5 linked regions of the Canis lupus familiaris genome follow. The protein of the gene in region 1 binds, or shares a complex with, the protein of each later gene. Links are inferred from orthologs where the notes say so. Each region holds a gene or a part of one and is shown in the gene's direction. Other genes may lie near its edges. The genes, in order: NCAPD2, NCAPG, NCAPH, SMC4 and SMC2.

Region 1 (3,995 bases):
GGATCACACCCTGAGCCAAAGGCAGACGCTCAACCACTAAGCTACCCAGGTGCCCCTAACCAGGATACTTTAGAGTAGGTTCTAAATGTAGAACTTCCCACTGTGGAAAGAAATGTCCAGGGATGTTACAGGTGTTGGGTAGCCCTCAAGGAATAACCATCCTATAACTGTCTAACTCCTAGGCCCAGTAGCTTCCACACAGGAGAATACCCAGGGGCCTGCAGGGAACACGGGCCTAAAACAGCCAGACTGTAAAGATAAGCCCTGTGTGTCAGAGCCTATGAAATCCAGGGACAATGATGAACTGGTAAAGCAGGAGATGCTGGTGCAGTATCTGCAGGACGCCTATAGCTTCTCTCTGAAGATCACAGAGGCCATTGGCATCATCAGCAAGATGATGTATGAAAATACAACAACAGGTATGCCAGCATCCCTCTCTGTAAGGACTGGGTCTTGGGGTTGGGAAAACCAGTCTTGTCCATATTTTAATGGTAATTATCTGCTCTTTAAAAAGGCAAGGATTCTTTTTTATTTTTTATTTTGTTGGGATTCTTTATTTCTTTTGGCTGTGTATATCCCCATGGAGCATACACATTTTAACACACAGTTCATGATAAGGCCATCAGGAGTTGACTTTCTCAGGGAGAGTGAGGAAAGCTTCCACTTGCGTGTTGCTACACTAAGAAAGGTTCTGTCTTTAAGTATTAGGAGAATTTGGCCAAGCAATGGGTGATATTTGTATCTATCCTCTCAGTGGTACAGGAGGTGATTGAATTCTTTGTGATGGTGTTCCAATTTGGGGTACCTCAGGCCCTGTTTGGGGTGCGCCGCATGCTGCCTCTCATCTGGTCTAAGGAGCCTGGTGTCCGGGAAGCTGTGCTTAATGCTTACCGCCAACTTTACCTCAACCCCAAAGGGGACTCCGCCAGGTATATGTGGTACTTTTTGGCCTTTGCCAACTTCTCTGAGGTCAGCTTCTCATAGGACTGCACTCTTTTAGGAGTCTGCAGTCTCCTAAAAGAAGGGTGGGGATGTGGGGGCATCCTTCTAGAGGAGTTCTGAAATCATCAGACATAGATCTGTAATGGGATTCAGTGGAGCTCAGACTTCCAGTCAAACCCATCCTACATAGTTATCCGACGTTGTAGTGGGATAGCCCTAATAACCTGTTTGTGGGTTCACACTTAGCAGTTTTTAATGACCTCTGCTCTCTGCTATTCCCACAGAGCCAAGGCCCAGGCTTTGATTCAAAATCTCTCTTCGCTGCTAGTGGATGCCTCAGTTGGGACCATCCAGTGTCTTGAGGAAATTGTAAGTCTCCTACTTTCTTTCTATTTTGTTTGTTTTGTTTTGTTTTTGGCTTATTTAGTTATTTAAATAATCTCTACACCTAGCGTGGGGCTCAAACCCCTAACACCTCAAGATCAAGTATCATACATTCCTCTGACTGTGCCCGCCAGGCATCCCCTTACTTCTACTTTCTTTATTCATTCAATAAGTATTACTGTGTGTTCAGCAATTTACTCAGCCCTACAAAGTATAAGATTATTTTCAAGTTCCAACATTTTAAAGGAACCAACAATATAGTGGGTAGCCAAAAAACATTTATACGTTTATAGAACGAGGTGGCACATCAGTGCCAGAAAAAGTGGCCTAAGTAATGGTTATAGCAGGAATGGTAATGTAATAACACTTATTATATATATGCCAGGCCTGTCCTCAGCAGTTTGCTCGTAGGAGCTTGCATCATGCTTATACAACCCTCTGAAGTGATGCTGCTAATGTACATTTTACGGTGACAGGTCCTGAGGCTCTGAGAGGTTAAGGTACTTGGCTAATGACAGCTGGTTTGTGGGAGAGACACAGGCAATATGAGCTCCGGAAAACATACTCTTACCTTGTATGTTTCTCTGAGGAGAACAGTGGGAGGACTTAAGCAGGGTCTTGATGAGCAGGATACAGAGAATTAGAGAAAGGAGGGAGCCAAGAAAGAGCACAAAAAGTTGCAGAGTGAAGATTGTGTTCTGGCTGGAAATTGTTACCTGCAAAAGATAAAGTGGGAGTGTAGATTGGAACGGAATTGAAAGGTCCCTGAATGCCTTTCACAAGTCCAGGACTTTCAGTTTGCCAGCATTTTAGTGAGGCCCATGTGCTTTGAAGCATTTGGATTGTGGAGCCTGAAGGCGGAAGTGGTGCTGACCACCAGCATCCACTAGGTGGAGCATTCCTGCCAGCCACCTTTTCTCTTCTCTGGGGCAAAGAAGAGCCCCGTGGCAGCCACTGGCCTGAAGTCTTCGAGGCTAGGAGGCTAGCTCACGGTCCCCGAGCTCCTACTGTAGGCAAAGAAGAGCTGTTTCTAAAAGATGAGCTGAGGTATGGCATGATGAAGTAGGTGTTGGGAAGACTGGTCCAATAGGAACATACAGGTTGGTGGAGAGGAGGCTGCTGTCAAGTGTGCAGTGGTGAGGGGCTGGCCTTGGAGGAAAAGCTATGGAATTGCACTTAATGGAAGATGGATTTTAAAGAGTAGGTGGGACAAAGTGAGGAAACGTTGACTATGAAGTTTCAAGCATATGAGACTAAGAGTGTTGGTATTCTGGGCAAAATGAAAAGGCAAGGGAGGATGCAGCCTTCCATTTTAGACATGTTGCATTGTTGTAACAGCAACAAAACCTACTAGAAATCTCCAAAATGTGGTCAGAGCCACGGATCCACACATAACAAGGTCACTCTGAAAATGTCATCTTAAATGCAGTTTTGAGGGCATGAGGATGGAAAAGTGACAGAGATGGAAGCCCCTCCCCAGACTCCTCCTCCTTCCTTTTCCGTGCCTAAGCATTGCTTTTACCCACCTCGGGTTCTCAGTGCTCTCTTCAGAGAAGTGGAACAAGGATCAGGCGAATTGTTATTTCCTGGCTTGAGCCTTTTTTTTTTTTTCTCTCTTCAGCTCTGTGAGTTTGTGCAGAAGGATGAACTGAAGCCAGCAGTGACCCAGGTGCTGTGGGAGCGGGCAACCCAGAAGGTCCCCTGCTCTCCTCTGGAGCGCTGTTCCTCTGTCATCCTTCTTGGGATGATGGCACGGTAAGGCTCGGGTCCAGACAGGCAGTAGGAATAAGAGGCGGAGGGAGGGCTCTGAGAAGGCTCCCTTCCCTTCGGTACCGGCAGTCAGGCCCACAGCTGTACCAGGTAGTAGTTGGCTACCTAAATGAAAAGTAAAACAGTGCAAGTACCAGCACCCCCTACCCCTACCCCCCACCCTGCCCAACAGAAATAATGGGATTCGGTACAGGGAGAGGGATTCTGAGGGCCAGCCCTGTAGAGCCTCTTCTGTAGTGCTCCAGGGCTCTCAAAGCCTCGCACAGAGTGCTTGCTGTTACCTACCCCACTGGGCATTATTCCCTACAGAGTGCTGTCCCCGACTAGCTTTAACTCTGTGGCTTCCTTCTCCTAGAGGAAAACCAGAAATTGTGGGAAGCAACTTAGACACACTGGTGAACATAGGGCTGGATGAGAAGTTTCCACAAGACTACCGGCTGGCCCAGCAGGTGTGCCATGCCATCGCCAACCTCTCTGACAAGAGAAAGGTATGGGGGATCTCCAAACCAAGGAGAGTGGGGCTCCTCTTAACCACTCTCAACACATAGGCACATTTTGTCTTTGCTGTTCTCAACAGCCTTCTCTGAGCAAACGGCACCCTCCCTTCCGGCTGCCTCAGGAACATAGGCTATTTGAGCGACTGCGGGAGGTGATCACAAGAGGTGAGTTATCATGAAGGCCTTGGGTAGAATCGAGTCCTTTGGCTGCAATGAGTGACTTCTCCCTTCTTCTCTGCAGGCTTTGTCCACCCAGACCCACTCTGGATCCCATTTAAAGAGGTGGCAGTGACCCTCATTTACCAACTGGCAGAGGGCCCCGACGTGATCTGTGCCCAGATACTGCAGGGCTGTGCAAAACAGGCCCTGGAGAATTTGGGAGAGAAGAGCACCACCCAGGAG
Region 2 (3,995 bases), on another chromosome or scaffold:
CCAAAGCTGGTTACGTTTCACTGAAGGAAATATATTAGAGTTGCTCCATCGGTTAGATGTGGAAAATTCTTCTGAAGTGGCAGTCTCTGCTCTCAACGCCTTATTTTCAGCAACTCCTCTTAACGAACTGGCAGAAATCTGTAAAAGTGACGATGGCAGGTACATGTTCCTTACTTGAAATGTGATTCTCGTGAACTTCTACAATTAGAATCAGTCCCCTTCTGGTCCTTTTCTGATGACTTCAGATGGTTTTAATAGCTTTTATCTAACTCACCTGTGTCTTTACTGTGGCATGGTGAGTGTCTTTTCTTTTTTATCCCCTTTGGGGAAGGACTCGCTACCTTATCACGGACTACTTTAGCTGCATTCTTTTTCTCCCCCCATTTTGTTACTTTGATGTGTGCATTAGCTTACCATGGAAAGTCCTGCAACATGCTTCCCTATTGTATGACTCTTTTTTTCTCTTTTGCTCTAAATATTTTCGTTTGTGCACGTGTGTGGATAAATTAATGACTTTGCAATTAAAAGGATGCTGGTTATAAATCAGGCTTGCTTTTTATTCCTATTTTTTATACTTAGTTCAAATTTTTAACTTTAAGATTATGCTTTCTCTTATTCTCTCCCTTTTAATTGAAGGCAACTGATTCCATTGGAAACATTAACTCCTGAAAATGCTTTGTATTGGCGTGTCCTTTGTGAATATGTGAAATCAAAAGGAGATGAAGGTGAAGCAGTTTTGGAGCAGATTTTGCCGGAGCCTGTAGTATATGCAGAGTATTTACTAAGGTAAAATTTTTTCTTATTATTCAGATTGTACTTTTGTTGCTGTGTTAAGCCTCTAGCCCCTTCCCTCAAAGTCATGTTTGATGACTTTGTGAAAAACCATTTTTTTTGACTAGGCAGAGATAAATAGCAATGTATATTGAGTCTTTCTGAAGAATGTTCTGTGCTGGATGGATAAAGTGCAAAAAGTCAGTGTGTTTAGGGAGATTTCCTTAAAACTGTTAGGATGTGCTTATGAACATTTCTCCATAAAGTTGATAATGATGATGATGTGTTACTCTTTGAAATTGGTTGGCAAACCTTTTCTAAGGGTCAGAGCATAAATATTTTAGTTTGTAGACCTGTGTCACAGTGACAGTTCTGCTGTGTTGGTGCAAAAGCAGCCAAAGAAATATGGGATGAATGATTGTAACTATTTTCCAATGAAACTTCTTTCAACTTTTATGGACTAAAATTTGAATTTCATATGATTTTCATCTGTATATATTTTCAAATTATGTTTATATCCATGTATAAACAAACTTCCATTTAAAAGTGTATAAACTCTCATCCTGCAAACTATGAAAACAAGCAGCAGGCTGTATCTGGTGCACGGGCCATACTTTTCCAACTGACAAGGTGAACCTTTGTGGCTACTTTAGTATTAATTAAACCTGCACTATTTGGCTTTTTGTTTTCTAAAAGGATTTTTCAATATACACTTTTATATTAGTTATTCTAATTTCACTTTAAAATTGTACAAGTAAAACATGAAAGCAATTCTGATCAAAATTCAAATACAGAAATATGTAGAAGAAAAACGTAGAATTTTTCTTTCATCTCCTAATTCTTTAATCCCATTTATCTTACAGTTAACAATTTGTGGAATGTACACTTGTGGCCCTCTTTCTCTACATATATATATTAAAATACACAAAAATTTTAAACATAGCACAATACATGTTTTTGTTTTTCTTTTTCCCCCCAACTACTTATATCTATCTGTGGTCATTATATGTTGGTGCGTATAAACTTATCACACTCTTAACATATTATTCCATGGTATGATGGCAATACTTAATTTACTTCTCTGTTAATGGACATTTAGCGTGATTCTGGTTTTTTACTGATAAGGTTGTATTAAACCATACATTTTTATATGTGTTTGGGATTTTGTGGGGTTGATTCCTAGAAGTGGAATTGCTGGGTCAAAGGTTATATGTATTTTCATAGATTTTGGTGGGTAGATTTTTAACTTTATGCTTTTAAAAAAAAATATTTTATTTATTTATTCATGAGAGAGACAGAGAGGGAGAGAGAGAGAGAGAGACGCAGGCAGAGGGAGAAGCAGGCTCTATGCAGGGAGCCCGACGTGGGACTCGATCCCGGGTCTCCAGGATCATGACCTGGGCCGAAGGCAGGCGCTAAACCGCTGAGCCACACAGGGATCCCCTAGCTTTATACTTTTAATGCAGTTTTTAAAAAGCTTCTTCCATATAATATGAATTATAGGCCTGAGTTCTTTTTGTATAGAATGTAACATTTTGCTTTTGATGAATGATTCCATGTAAGTTAGGAAGCAAAACTATAAATGCATTTTAATTTGCATGCAAAATATTGAACCAAGGATAAATACCTAAAATTTGAGCCAAAATGGAAACTTACAGCCTGAATTCATAGTAACATCATAAAAAATATGAGTGAATCTACTGTTTCAATAGTAATTGTTTCAAGCTTCAATATAATTAGAGTATTCATTATATTGCTGTTTGGGCCATGTTGCAGTATTTCCAAAACCAATGAGTTTGATGTAGTGCTTAATAATATGAATTAATATAAAAGTAATAAATACTTATAGAAAATAAGGGAATGTTTCAGAGATTAATTCTTAGTTACTGAAATCAACAGGTAAGGAGCTTGGTTTCCCTGGCTCTGAGAAGTTAGGGATTCTTATATTTCCATTGTCACTTAATCTGTGAGTTTTGAAATAGGTAACTTTAATCAACTTTTTATTTAAAAAGAAGAAAACTTTAAAAATTGTATTTTTATTATTATTGAAAGAACAGTTTAGAAATAGAATAGTTTTCTTTTTGGAGCGACATCACTAGATAGGATTAGCTTATTCCGGTACTGAAACAAAATTAAGTGGAAAAATTGCTTCCTGAAAAATCTCAGAAATATATTTTCAGGCATTTGGTAGCAGAAAGAGGTAGTGACCCAGAATTCTGATATGAAACAAGGTTTCCTGTTAACCGAAGTATTCACATAAAGGAAGAAATCAGGGATATTAAATTTGGCTTGTCAAATTTGAGGAAGAAAAAGAGATGTGAACACAATTTTAGGAAACAACCTTAAATATAAATTCTTGGAGAGAGCTTTAGGAAAAGGCTTTCTTTCTTGAGTGTTCTCCTCATTGTAATGAATGTGTTTAAAAATGGTTAAAAAGAGATGATTTCATGGTAATTAAAATTGGTGGGTCCATTTTAGGTTGTATTTATGCAGTTTGAGATTCTTAATCTATGAATGAAGTTATTACTCTGAATTTATTTAAAAAAATACCCTCAGTCTTGATGCTATGCATTGTGCTAAAGCTGGAGTGGAAGAGTAGGGAAGGATTCAAAGAAGAGGGGATCCCTGGGTGGCTCAGTGGTTTAGTGCCTGCCTTCCACTCAGGGTGTGATCCTGGAGACCCGGGATCGAGTCCCACATCCGCCTCCCTGCATGGAGCCTGCTCCTCCCTCTGCCTGTGTCTCTGCCTCTCTCTGTCTCTCGTGAATAAATAAATTAAAAAAAAAAAATCTTCAAAGATGAGTGAAGGTTTTTTTTAGCCTGTCAGAAACCAGCAACTCTACTAAGCTAATGATTTTGATAATTACTAGTTTCTTTCCTTTAGTTTTCTACTAGAACCCAAAGAGCGCTGATGCCCTTTGAAAGTCCTATCTCATGGCCAGAGATTTGTGAGCTTTTATTTACTCTTGGTTGTTATTTTAAAGACGAGTCAGTTTATTCATCATACATAATTCTGCAGTTCTTATAACTTGATTTTTGTTGACAATTTAAAAATGACATTTTCATCAGGATTGTTTATTACTTTCAACCTAAAGGCACCTAGTTGTCTAAGCTTTAACTCTTAATTCTGCCTTTACCTAGGTTTTTTTTGTTCACACAAAAAAGAGAACTTTTGGTAGTCTGTTGAATTTTATCTAGATGAGGGTTGTAAAAGGCTTTAATTT
Region 3 (3,995 bases), on another chromosome or scaffold:
TGGGCCTTTTTAGGTATTTTCTTCCTACCCCACTACCCTTTAAATTAATTATTATGGAATAAGATTTTATCAGCTAGTGTTGAGCCTTGGAAAACCACAAGTAACTATCATTTCTAAGATTTCCCTACCCTCCCCCAAGAACTGGTTTTTACTCCCTTGAGAATGATACTGCCTCCAATTAAAAATGAATGAGTTAAAGCTGGTAGGTGGAGAGAACCTTCAAGAATGAAGTGGAGGAATATAGGGAATTTCTAGAGGGCCCTGGGGGGAAATAGCCATTGTTAGCCTACGGAGATGGGGACCAAAGAGGGGATGTCAGAGCTGTATAGGTTTTAGACCCTGGGAAATGTAGAATCCTGTGGGATCCTAGGTCTTTTATAAATAAATTAAATAAAGGGAAATGATGAGATTAGTCCTGGTGGTCTCATAGCAGATGATAGTGGTAGAGGCAGAGCACACAGGGGGCTAGGAGTGAGGGGCTTTGACGGCTTCACTCTGAGTGATGGGGCGGTTCTGCTTTGGCCTTGCTTGGCCGCTCCAGCCTGTGCTGGTGTGAGGACAATGTGTGGATGGGTGTGGAGGGGGTCGAGAAAGGTGAAATGCCGAGGCCAAGGCCAAAGAGGGAGGAGGGAAACGAGTTGCAGGCACTTTGTGGGGAGGGAGTTCTGTTTATCCATATGTCAGAATTGACCTTAGGTAGTACCACATTTGGAAGCATATGATGTGAAGTTCAGATCCTGGTTCCACTCTCTTAGCTGTGTGGCGCGGGAAAAGGCTCTGAATCTCACTTTGTTAAACTGTAAAAACAGGTTAACGCTAGTTCTGTCTGCATATGGGTTTTGTGGTAGAGAATCTGTCCCTGGCAAAGTGCTTCATCCATGGTAATATGTTGTATACCCCTAAAGAGGAGCCATATAATTCTCTCCCATCTTCCCTTCCCCTCTCCAGTTCTCCATGTTTTTCCTTCTTCTTAGATAATCTGAGCATTAATTTCACTGTCATTCTTGGCTTTGCTTCTGGTTCTGTAGTGAAATGTCAGTTCAACAGTATGGTTGGAAATTTTGTTTCCTTTTCTGACCAGCTAGACCCAATTCTGGGGAGCCTGAGGAGGCTTGCACTAACTAGCCTTGCCCATTATTCTAGAGAGAAAATGAGAGAGCAAGTGGTGCTGTTCCCTCTCAGCTTGTGATGGTCAGCCACATTTATGCTGCGTGAAATCACTAGTCTTTTTTTTTTTTTAAGATTTTATTTATTTACTTGAGAGAAGAGAGATTGTGCACAAGCAGGGGGAGTGGCAGGGAGAGGGAGAAGCAGACTCCCCACTGAGCAGGGAGCCTGATCCAGGACTCAATCCCAGGACCCTGGGATCATGACCTGAGCTGAAGGCAGATGCTTGACAACTGAGCCACCCAGGTGCCCTGAAATCACTAGTCTTAAACACCAAGTACCCCAATCCTAGAAAGTTTTTTTGCTCTGTAATCCACCATAAACTTGTAATAACCCAAAGCCCAATTTGGAAGATAACCAAGAAGGAGGGATTGTCAGAGACCTAGAATTTGAAGTTTCAACTGTTTCTTGAACCTGTATTCTCTTGGAGATGGCATGGAAATGAGAAAGCAAATATTGTGTGGGTGTGTCTAGACCAGTTGAGAACTCTTGTTTGTGTATGAGCTGATCTGTTTTGGACACAGCTCTCTGTGTGTAAAATGTTTGCTGTCATAGGAGATTCCAACCTGATTATAAGCTCCAGTTCTTTATACCAGGAGCGCACAAATGGATACAATACAAGGAAGTTCAAGGCACATACTATAGGAAGTCAGAGTGGGTGGAGGTCAGAGCTTATGGAAGAAGTGAAATTTGAGCTTGGCCTTAAAGGAAAGGTAGGTATTTATCAGGTGGACATTGCCAGGCAGAGGCATAAACAAAGGCTGTGAAGCAGGAATGTTTCTCCCTAAAGGGAGCTGGACAGAGTACAAGTTTGGCTAGAGCCCAGGATCTACTCACAAGGCTGAAACAACCTTTAGACTTTACCATGCACTTTATTATCTACCAAAGGCTCCTTTTACTATTTTACTATTTACTATTACTATTTACTATTTCTCTTCCTCGCTGTGGACCCTTGTTTCAAAAGATTCACCTACTGGAGGTGCCTGGCTGACTCAGTCTGTAGAGCATATGATACTTGATGTTGAGGTCATGAGTTTGAGCCCCATGCTGGGTGTAGAGATTACTTAAGACACACACACACACACACACACACACACACACAAGGTTCATCTACCCAAACTGCAGTCACCAATTATTCAATTTCCCATCAAATAACTCAAAAATGTCAATCAGATCTAATTTATATGGAAGAACCATTGTTCTCTCATTGCATGATATAATTCTAGACAAAAGTGACGAAAATTATCTTAGTGTTTTTCAGCTTTATATTTTAGTGTTTACAGTTTCCGTGTTGACTCTTCAATATGCTAGCTTCACTAACTACCCACACTGGACCTCTCAGGGTATGGGGATCCAGGTGGGATGCCAGTGCTCTGGTTAGCATTTGAGGAAGGGAATGGGAATAACAACGCTAGTATTTTTAGGATAGGAAATGGGAGAGACCAGAGATGAGGGTTGACTCAGGCGTGGGTTGTATTGGTGGCAGTAGAGGTGAAGGAGGAAGGGGGATAGATGGTAGAGATCTACTGGGAGGAAAACCCACCAGGCTGACTGCCTGAGGGGTAAGGAGACAGGGAGAATGGAGGTGATGTATTTGATACTCTGGGGCTGGAACGATGGTGAGATGGGCTCATTGGAGGCGAGAGGAGAATCTCGGTTCTGGCCAGGTCAGGTTCAGAGCTAAGGGGGCCAGGAAAGAGCCAGAGAGCCACATCTCTTATCCTACCTGAGGCCCCTTCTCTCTCTCCACACTAGCTACATCCTGAAACATAAAGGAGACCTGTGAACCCAATACTTGCCCTCTTGCCACACATGCCTGTGTCTTGCTCTCTCCTCATTCTCGTGCACTGTCCCCTGTTCTACCTTTGGGATTGCTATCACCTGGCTCTGCCACTCCTGCTCCTTACCCCAGCCTTGGAGGCCCTTTTACAACCTCCCCTATGTTTTACCCATCCACCTAGTCCTGCTGACTCTGCCTGTCTTTCCCCTGAATCTCTTGGTTGTATTCCCCAAATCTGTGAAAATATTTCTCCCCAGAGAAATAATGGGATCTTGTGAACAGATCCATCACATAGGCTTTTTAAGTCCACAGAATTTGTTGTGATAGCATTCTGCCAGGCCCTTTGAAAACAGTGACTTGTGGGAAGAGACAACAGAAGGGTACCGTCCATGTGGATCATAAACAGGTTGACATAGTAGAAGCTGTGTACTTGAATGCTGTATATTTATTCAGCTGACCACACACAGTCTTCCTTTTCTATTGGTATCTGCTAAGATGAGATTTTACTGATTAAATAGAAAGTCCTTCCCCTGCTTCAGTCACATGCAGAGATATCTCAATTCCACATATGCAGTTGTGAATGAGCAGGGTCCAATGAAGGAGATTTTACATTTGCTTCGGCTGCATCCCATAATTCATTGGTTTCCTCTGGTTTTATGCTCAGATTGATCCCATGTTTCAGAAGACGGCAGCCTCATTTGATGAGTGCAGTACAGCAGGGGTATTTCTCTCTACCCTCCACTGCCATGACTACAGAAGTGAGCTTCTGTTTCCCTCTGATGTCCAGACTCTCTCCACTGAAGAACCCCTGGAGCTACCAGATTTAGGTTGGGTGGAAATGACAGATTTAAAAGGTTAGTACACATATATATTTTACTAGAGCATTTTAGTCATCAGAAAAGTTTCCACACAACTGTGGAGCATAATATGCCCATCCTTAGGTTGCTTGTTTAAATTACCCAGAAGGTTCCTCTGGAATGCCACATTGGGCATCCTTTAGAGAGAAGCGAACTTCTTCCTCTCTTGCAGAACAGAGTCTAACAATAGT
Region 4 (4,603 bases), on another chromosome or scaffold:
CAGCTTTGAAAGAAAAGGCATATTATTGGGTGATAGGCATTAAGGAGGCACTTGATGTAACACTGTTACATGCAAATGATGAATCACTAAATTGGACTAAATTCTACCCCTGAAACTAATAATTCAATAGGTTAACTAACTTGAATTTAAATAAAAATAAATAAATGTGGGTTATACACCCGAGTCAATGTTCTGGCAAACCACATCAGTCTCTGAACTTCACCAAATTCTTAAAAGAGTTGTCAGGGAGTGTCTCCTCCACATCCCTCTTGAGAATCACTGAACTTTTCTTTTTACTCCCGGCGCAAGATTCGTACTACTTACTTAGAATGGTAACATAAATTCATTTATAAAGCAGATTTCTCCGTGCTTTAGTATGCCAGGCACTAAGTATGCAAAAGTCAAAGGGAGGGCAGGGCTCCCAGTTCTCAATGACAATTTCCTAAGTGTCGCTGAATACATACTTATTGGGGGCGGTGGTTAACATAATAGGTGATTAGGACCACGTTTGAGAATCAAAGTTCTGAGGAAACTAACTCCCCAGGAAAATGCACAAACACACAGAATTCTGTTTACCGTTTCAGCTGGCGGCGGTGGGGGGTGGGAGGGGGGAGCATTATGAATTCCACTGAATCTCAATCGCCCCACCAATAGGACCACGGACTCCACGTTAAAAATCGACCCACAAAACTAAGTTCTCTGGAAACAGGAATACCTGCTTAGTAATTCACAGTACAACGTATTCAAAAGTTACCGAAGGAATATTTTCCGATCGATAATTTTCTCGTGGAGATAACCAGATGACATCAACCAATCATTTTCTTCCATTACGGAATCTCAATCAAATCATCCTAAAAGCCCGAAATTCCCCTTTCGCTAGTGACACGAATGACCTGACACCAACAAATTCCAAAGTATTTTGCTATTGACGTATAGACTATGCAATCATTCACCGATCCGGGTGTTTCTGTTCTTCGTCTTGTCCTTCTACTCCTTCCAAACTCAGGGCTTCCTGCTTCGCATCCCAAAAGCTTCGTCCAGCGCCCCGCTCGCTGCCTGCAGGGGGACGCGGCAGATGCTCGGTGCCGCATACGCTATCACACTAGGTAAGGTGGGATCCGTCGATGGCCACAATTTCCAAACCCTTTCCTCACCACGTCCGGAGGCGACGAGATTTACCTTAAAGTTCCAGGAAAGCAGAGGCGATTGCTCCCGGAGCTAGGACCAGTTACCAAGAAGCCTCCCGACCTCCCTGTCACCATAGTGACTCCTACGAGCTGCGCACACTCCCTCTTCTCGCGATACTTCCCCCTCCGCGGGTCACCCGAGCCCGCCCTCTCCTGAAGGGACGTTAGTAGACGACGGAGCCCTCCTCCAGCTGTGGGTGGAGCCCTCCTGGGTTGGGTTTTTTTTTTTTTTTTTCCTCTCGTTCAAAACTCTCTCTAGATTGGGATTTCTTTTCTTTTTTTTTTTTTTTTTTTGGTATTTTTTAAGAGTACTGTTGCCGTAGGCCTAAAACAAAACAGCGCTTCGCTCCGCCTCTTCACTTACTACAGACGAGCCCGGCCGCCGGGGTCCCGCCAGGGTCCCGCCAGGAGTTCGCGCATGCGTGCAAGCGACCAGAAGATGGCGGTGGCAAGCGCCGCATTTTTTTCAAATTAGTGGTTCCCAGAAAGCATTGCGCGCATTTGTAACGAATTTCCGTTCGAGTTTGTATTTTAGGCGCCATTTTCGAGTGAAGGACCCGGAGCCGAAACACCGGTAGGAGCGGGGGGTGCTATACAACGGTCTCCGGTTTTGGTGCGAGTGGCCTGCGCCGCAGGTAAAGTACTTCTTTTCCTGACCAGGTTGTCACACTCTCCCTTCCTGCCCGGTCCGCGGGCGCCGGGAAAGTAGAGGCCTTGAGCTGGAGCCGCCGAAGTCCGCTCTGGGCTGAGGCAGCCGCCGGGAGGTTTCTTTCGCTGTCACCCCTCCCCCCTCGGCCGCCTCCCGGCGGTCGGGGCTCCCGCGCGCTCCTCGCGGGCGCCACTTCTCTGAGCTACTTAAGCGCCTCGGGGCGGGGGGGGGGCGCGGGGGACGCGGACTCTTAAGCCTCGCAGAGCTCTTCTCGGAAATCCCGGTCTCTGTCGGGGAAAGGGCGTCTCCCCTGCCCCGGCCCCCTGACCTCCTCTCTTCCCCCAAGGGACTGCTCACCGAGTCCGAGCCCTTCGTGATGACCTTTCGTAGCGGATTGTCCAGCGAGGCTCCACGGGGGGGTCGGAGGGGACAGACCCCCGCCACCCCCAAGATGATTGGCCCGGACCAGGCGCTGCTAGGTCTGGTCTTGGAAATCGGGAGTGGCCGACCCCCGTCTCCGGGTCCGACGGCAGCGAGCGAGACCTGGAAGCCCCCGGGGCCGTCAGCGGCGCCCGGAGCCAAATGGCGGGGAAAGTGGGTGGCGAGTCGCCCGTTAGTCGTCGCTCCTCAGGAGGAGTTGAGAGTCCCTCAGACCTGAAGCGGATACAAAAGTCTTCTCGGCCAAAGTCTCTTCTGCGCTTGCTTCGCTAACCCCAGCAGCGTGGGAATACCAGCAAATGCCGCCGCGCAGGAATTATTTCGTTAGGAAATTAGAGGATTGTTAGACCCTTCTGCCGTGGGAGGACGGGGGTGGGGAGGCATTAAGAAAATGGAACGTAAGCCGTTCTGCCCTTTGCCTGGTGGCCACGCACGTCTAGGTTTGCCCAGTTGCTTCGGGCTTAAGAAAACGCATCTCGCCTTTTTTGGCACTTGGGGTTGTGTGTGTGTGTGTGTGTGCGCGCGCCTTTCTTTACCGAGCACCCGCCGGCGTCCGGCGGCGTTATCTAAAAGGGGTTCTCGGAAACGGGTGGACGGAGTTTTTCCCCGAGTGGGATGGGGTGGGGGCTGAGCTCATCCGACGCGGTGGCCGGCGGGGAATGTACCCGCGCAGCCCTGCGGCCCGGCGGACTGACTCGCCCCTGCTCTCCCCCGGCCCCAGCGACCATGCCCCGAAAGGGCACCCAACCTTCCACCGCCCGGCGCGGGAGGGAAGAGCCGCCGCAGTCCCCGGACGGCCCCAGCAGCGACGCGGAGCCCGAACCCCCGCCTGGCCGCGCGGGCAGCCCGGCCCCTGCTTCCACAGGTAAGTACCTCGCCGCTCCTCCGCTGGAGAACGCGCGGGGCGGCCAGCGTGGGTCCGCGCCCAAGCCGGGACTGGCGGGTGTTTGGGGGCGCGGAGCTGAGGGGCTGCGGAGTTGGCGACTGTAGGTCGCATGTCGGTTCCGTAGTGCTCGACAAAGCGATTTGGCGATTTTCGGAGGTCGGAGTCTTCGTGCAATTTCGGTGTTACGGTGTTGGAGGGGATTGGGGCAAGTGCGTGGCTACATTTACGATTTTATTTGTGGCCTTGTATTTCCTCGGAGATCGGCGTGATCAGCCAATAGCTAGTGGACTGTTTTCTAGGCAGAATTAACATGATTGTATCTTAAAAGTGACATGGCCCTAATTTAACCTCTCTGGTCTAAATTGCGTTTAAAAAGATAACGATAATTTATTTGAAACTACGGTAGCTTTTTTGTGAGTACTGGAATTGGGTGACATTAGGAAGCCCCGTGGCAGAGTCGCTGGAAGCTCTTGAGTGTCCAAAGTTAAGGTTCCAGGTGCTCAGAGATTGGGAGAAAGTTAGATCTAGAGCCTTAGGATTTAACCACCTGTTTAGGCGAGGAACAGAGAATCAGGTTGTTGTGGTTTTCCCAGATTTGCTTTATGGTGTAGTATTTTGACTCCTAAGAGATAGATTTTTGTAGGATTTTGTGACTGGTGGTCATTTCTTTAAGAATTTCTATTTTTATAAAATCAAGCTGAAAGATTTTCATTTCTTCTTAGTAAAATACATTTAAGTGGAAAATACAGATTCCTAGGTTTCATAAGTAACATTTTTCCAAAGATTAGCAGGCAGTAGTCCTCCGAACTAATTGCACTAATGCAGGCTTTCTTTTTCCTCTTGCTTTCCCTTCCCTTTGACTGACTTAGAGACACCAAGTGAGGAAATTGATAATAGAAGTTTAGAAGAGATTTTGAATAGCATCCCTCCTCCCCCGCCTCCAGCCATGGCCAATGAAGCTGGAGCTCCTCGGCTTATGATAACTCATATTGTAAACCAGAACTTCAAATCCTATGCTGGGGAAAAAATTTTGGGACCTTTTCATAAGGTATTTGATCATTTTAAATAACTATTATAGAGTAATGTGTTTTTATTACAAGGTATTTCAGTTTTATCCTGTTTATCCTCACTGATAATACATGGTATGTTTCCTGTGTTTTTAACAACTGAAATTAGTTTTTGTTTATCCTGGTTATCGTTGGTACCTCTTTAGCTGTTAAGTTTTCCACACAGAGTAGAATTGGTGAGGGGTTATTTTTGTTTGTTTGGAGGAAGTATTTTTTCTATTAGAATGAATTTTGTAAAAGTGATTTAGACTATAGTCTTAAAATGTTGAAGCTTGTTATAAAGGAGAATATAATGTAGGAAAACAAGTTGAAATGAAAATTTTAAATAGTTTTGCTGCAAGTAAAAAAGGCAAGCGGTTTAAATTAAAATCAGTTA
Region 5 (3,995 bases), on another chromosome or scaffold:
TGCCAAAGTTGGAATTTGAACCTAGCCTTTTCTGTCTATTTTAAAGACAGCTCTGAATCACTTTTCTATACAATTTTATTTAAATCTATTTTTCTTCATATTCTGTCATTAAATGCTTGCACAAAGTATTTTCTAATGAACTAAAAGGTTTAATGGGAAAGAAGAAAATTGAGAAACTAGTTTTTTTTTTGACATTGCATAATTATGTTTTTAAAAAGCATTTTTCCTCTGCTAGTTTATCTCTTATGTAGAATTCTATATTTTTCTCTAGGAATAAACGGATAAAGGAAATAGCTTATGCTAAGTTATTTAAACTATATGTGATTTTTTTTTTTTTTAAGTGTAGGAAAATAAATTTCCTTTCTCTTTTAGGGGAAACCACTTACATGTGTTCTGGTAGTTGAATAATGAAGCTGTGGGTCTTACTTGCATGAGAATCTTACTAATTTTGCTGAGATATATGTATTCATTTTTCAGTAGTTAATAGCCTGTTGAATGTGTAGATAATGTTTTTTTCTAGGAAGTTGAAGCTATCACCCTGGAGCTGGAAGAGCTCAAGAGAGAGCACACATCCTATAAACAACAGCTTGAAGCTGTAAATGAAGCTATCAAATCCTATGAAGTACAGATTGAAGCAATGGCAGTAGAGGTGGCTAAAAATAAGGTAACGTTTACTTACTATATTGGATAAATAGCAAATGTGAATCTACTTATGAAATGTTGGCTAGAAGATGTTTGACTCCAAGAGGTCTTGCTCTCTTGATTCTTGTCTTGATGAGAGCCAAAACAGTGATTACTGTGATCCAGAAAGAGTCCTGAAATTATAATACTAATTGTTTTAGTCTGGCTCTACTCTGAAGACAAATTATACAGTAATTCGAGCAGGCAAAGTTTAAATTAAAAATTCACTACAGTAGGAATTTGGAATGATGTGGGATTGATCACTAAAGAGAAAAGAGAATGCAAAATGATAAAGGAACAGCAGATACAGGGAATAGCCATTATGACCCATAGGACTGAGAAGTACTCCTCCGATGGAAGGAACAAATCTGGAAAACAGCCCCATTGCGCTTGCTCTTAATTCTTTTGATGACTTAATTCAAGTTTTTTGTTTTTTTTTTTAATATTTTATTTATTTGAGAGAGAGTGAGCACAAGCAGGGGGAGGAGGGGCAGAGAGAGAGGGAGAAGCAAACTCCCCACTGAGTGGGAAGCCCAAAGTGCAACTCGATCCCAGGACCCTGGGATCATGACCTGAGCTGAAGGCAGACACTTAACCGACTGAGCCATTCAGGCACCCAAGTTTTGTTTTTAACACATTGTCAAATCAATAGAATAACATTTTTAACTACTTTTTTTGAAAAAATGCTTCTCAGTTCTGTTTTGTGATGATTAGATTTTCTAGATTTGTTCAGTTTCTATTTTGTCTCCAAAGTAAATTTTAGTTGTTAAAGATATTTTATTTAATATGTCTTAATCTTATATTTTTTATTTCATATGAAATATTTTCCATATTTTATGCTGTCTTTCATGGATCTCATGTTGGAGAATTTTTTAAAAATTCGATAACATGTTTCTAAAGATAAAGATAAATGTGAAAATAAGCTACTCCTTTCTCAATCTAAATGAAATCAAAGTCCGAACATATACATATTTCCATTTTTCTTTATGGAAAAGTATAGAATGGATCACTTCGTTCTTAAAGGTGGTTCTTTCAGGCTCTTCATTCTAAATTGTTTCCTCTCTTTGATAAGAATAGCAAAGGACACTCCCCAGAGGCTAAGAAAAGAAACTGCCTACTAAATAATTAGACAAAACTAAAATTTCATTTCTGCTCAACCTTAGTGACAATTTCCTATTATTATAAAAAAGATTAAAATAGTCAAAATTGCAATGCAATTTTTAACCTGTAAGCATGAGAAAATCTTCATAAACATGTTTTTTTTTTTTTTTTTAGATATGGTGTTAGTTAATAGGCCTGTATCTGTTATTTTTCCCTCTGGTTAATATCACCAAACTATTTTCACTTTCTTTTCTTGTTCTTCAAATGTTTCAAAAAGCTAAAATATCTTTAGGTTTTTATATGAATGCCCTGATTTATTTTCCTTCCTCAGAAGATCTCTAATGACACAGATTAAACATTTTAGGAAATTAAAGCACTTTGAGCACATTCAATAACCTAACCATAACATTAAGTGTTCTTTGTTGCTCAAAATGATCATTTTGTAATGAGCATGCCTAAAAAACTGCTACACTTTTTTTTTTTTTTTAAGATTTTATTAATTTATTCATAGAGATGCAGAGAGAGAGAGAGAGAGAGAGGCAGAGACATAGGCAGAGGGAGAAGCAGGCTCCTTGCAGACAGCCTGACATGGGACTCGATCCAGGGTCTCCAGGATCACGCCCTGGGCTGCAGGCGGCACTAAACCGCTGCGCCACCGGGGCTGCCCTTACTTGTGCTTTTCATCACAAAGAACCACCCTTTTACCTTTCTCTTCCTCAGAGGCTTGTAGCAGATTGTCCTACTTAGGTTTTCCCTGTACCCAAACATGAGTTGAACTGGTTTTTTTGGTTTAAACATTTAATGTGATTTAAGATCTAGGATGAACGAAAGGGGTTTGTGGAGCAGGGGGTTGTTGATAGACTGAATTGCAGTTTTAATTACCACTTTGAGGATTGAATGAGTAGCTTCAGCCTTGGGAAGTAGGAGGATAATAAAAGTCAAAGCAAGAAACTTTTTCTTTGTGTCACAGATCTATTTGTTCAAAAAAGTTTCTCTTTTCTTTTTCTCTTTTGACCCCTGTGCTAGAACCAAACATTATGACCTTCCATTGTCACTGGTAAAAATAGCTTATATCTATAAAAGGGAAGAGTAGAAAGCACCAACCTGCAAACTCTTGATAAATGATATTTGGGGATCTGTCATATTGTCTTCTTCTTAACTACTAAAAAATGCCACCTTTTGAGACCTCAAAAGTCAGATTCCTATAATCCCTGCAAGTTGATCCCAACTAAACTGTACCCAGCAGAAACTTTGTCACTTCCAGCATGAATACTGCATCCCATCTTTTTTCTAGTAGTAAAACAAGTTTTCTCCTATATATAAATTAGTCATTTTAATGGGGATGTAAAATATAGAGGGTTAGGTGACCATCTGCCTCTAAACATATTTCTATCTTGCCCAAAAGTTTGTTAGATGATCTTTTAATAAACTAAAAATATGTCCACAGCACCTTGCTATATGTTGTCTTTGAATTATTTGTTTCAGGAGTCTGTAAATAAAGCTCAAGAAGAGGTGACCAAACAAAAAGAAGTGATAATAGCCCAAGACAATGTAATTAAAGCTAAATATGCCGAAGTAGCAGTACATAAGGAACAAAACAATGATTCTCAGCTTAAAATTAAGGAATTGGACCACAACATCAGCAAACATAAACGGGAAGCTGAAGATGCTGCTTCGAAGGCACGTTTGTGTTGTTTATTTTTACCCGTAATCAGATTTTTGCTTCTGAGTTGTTGAAATATTCTGGTAAACTGCTCAATGAGGAATTCAGTATAAATGGCAGAACTGCTGTGTAACATAATTTTGAGGCTTACAGCTATTTTGAAGGCTTCTCAGCAATGTTCCTTTTCACCAAATAGGATAAATGTTTGTTTCTAAATTTCAGGTATTTATTCCTATCTCCAACATGTTTTCACCAAATAGTGTTTTTTCATGGAACTGACCATTTTTTAATCCGCAAATATTCATAGACCTATTAATAGATCAGTACTAAAAATATATATTGTTTACCTTATTTCAAAATGAATTGGAAACTCACAGAAATACACATACAGGCAAATTCTAAAAGAAGGACTTCATTGGCTTCCGGATGTCCTTGTGAGAATCAGTCAATTTTGCAGCCTCATCTGAAATCTGATGTTTTGCCTACCAGCTATCTTTTTGCAGTTATCTCAGTTTTTTGGTCACTCTTAAAAAGTTTCTTCCTTCTTTGT

The links.
Region 2: NCAPD2 (region 1) and NCAPG share a complex: the UniProt entries of both Homo sapiens proteins name them as parts of the condensin complex. The link is inferred for Canis lupus familiaris from reciprocal best matches to the Homo sapiens genes NCAPD2 and NCAPG.
Region 3: NCAPD2 (region 1) and NCAPH share a complex: the UniProt entries of both Homo sapiens proteins name them as parts of the condensin complex. The link is inferred for Canis lupus familiaris from reciprocal best matches to the Homo sapiens genes NCAPD2 and NCAPH.
Region 4: NCAPD2 (region 1) and SMC4 share a complex: the UniProt entries of both Homo sapiens proteins name them as parts of the condensin complex. The link is inferred for Canis lupus familiaris from reciprocal best matches to the Homo sapiens genes NCAPD2 and SMC4.
Region 5: NCAPD2 (region 1) and SMC2 share a complex: the UniProt entries of both Homo sapiens proteins name them as parts of the condensin complex. The link is inferred for Canis lupus familiaris from reciprocal best matches to the Homo sapiens genes NCAPD2 and SMC2.

What each region holds. Positions count from the first base shown.
Region 1 is NC_049248.1:7,610,890-7,614,884, forward strand, and holds part of NCAPD2 (condensin complex subunit 1), read left to right. Parts: intron 1-182; coding exon 183-419; intron 420-754; coding exon 755-929; intron 930-1,226; coding exon 1,227-1,311; intron 1,312-2,947; coding exon 2,948-3,081; intron 3,082-3,451; coding exon 3,452-3,584; intron 3,585-3,673; coding exon 3,674-3,758; intron 3,759-3,834; coding exon 3,835-3,995. UniProt on the Homo sapiens protein: Regulatory subunit of the condensin complex, a complex required for conversion of interphase chromatin into mitotic-like condense chromosomes.
Region 2 is NC_049224.1:91,919,467-91,923,461, reverse strand, and holds part of NCAPG (condensin complex subunit 3), read left to right. Parts: coding exon 1-159; intron 160-636; coding exon 637-786; intron 787-3,995. UniProt on the Homo sapiens protein: Regulatory subunit of the condensin complex, a complex required for conversion of interphase chromatin into mitotic-like condense chromosomes.
Region 3 is NC_049238.1:34,614,255-34,618,249, forward strand, and holds part of NCAPH (condensin complex subunit 2), read left to right. Parts: intron 1-3,611; coding exon 3,612-3,801; intron 3,802-3,995. UniProt on the Homo sapiens protein: Regulatory subunit of the condensin complex, a complex required for conversion of interphase chromatin into mitotic-like condense chromosomes.
Region 4 is NC_049255.1:26,641,049-26,645,651, forward strand, and holds the start of SMC4 (structural maintenance of chromosomes protein 4), read left to right. Parts: upstream 1-1,663; 5' UTR 1,664-1,822; intron 1,823-2,995; 5' UTR 2,996-3,000; coding exon 3,001-3,139; intron 3,140-4,029; coding exon 4,030-4,208; intron 4,209-4,603. UniProt on the Homo sapiens protein: Central component of the condensin complex, a complex required for conversion of interphase chromatin into mitotic-like condense chromosomes.
Region 5 is NC_049232.1:60,489,173-60,493,167, forward strand, and holds part of SMC2 (structural maintenance of chromosomes protein 2), read left to right. Parts: intron 1-520; coding exon 521-664; intron 665-3,267; coding exon 3,268-3,462; intron 3,463-3,995. UniProt on the Homo sapiens protein: Central component of the condensin complex, a complex required for conversion of interphase chromatin into mitotic-like condense chromosomes.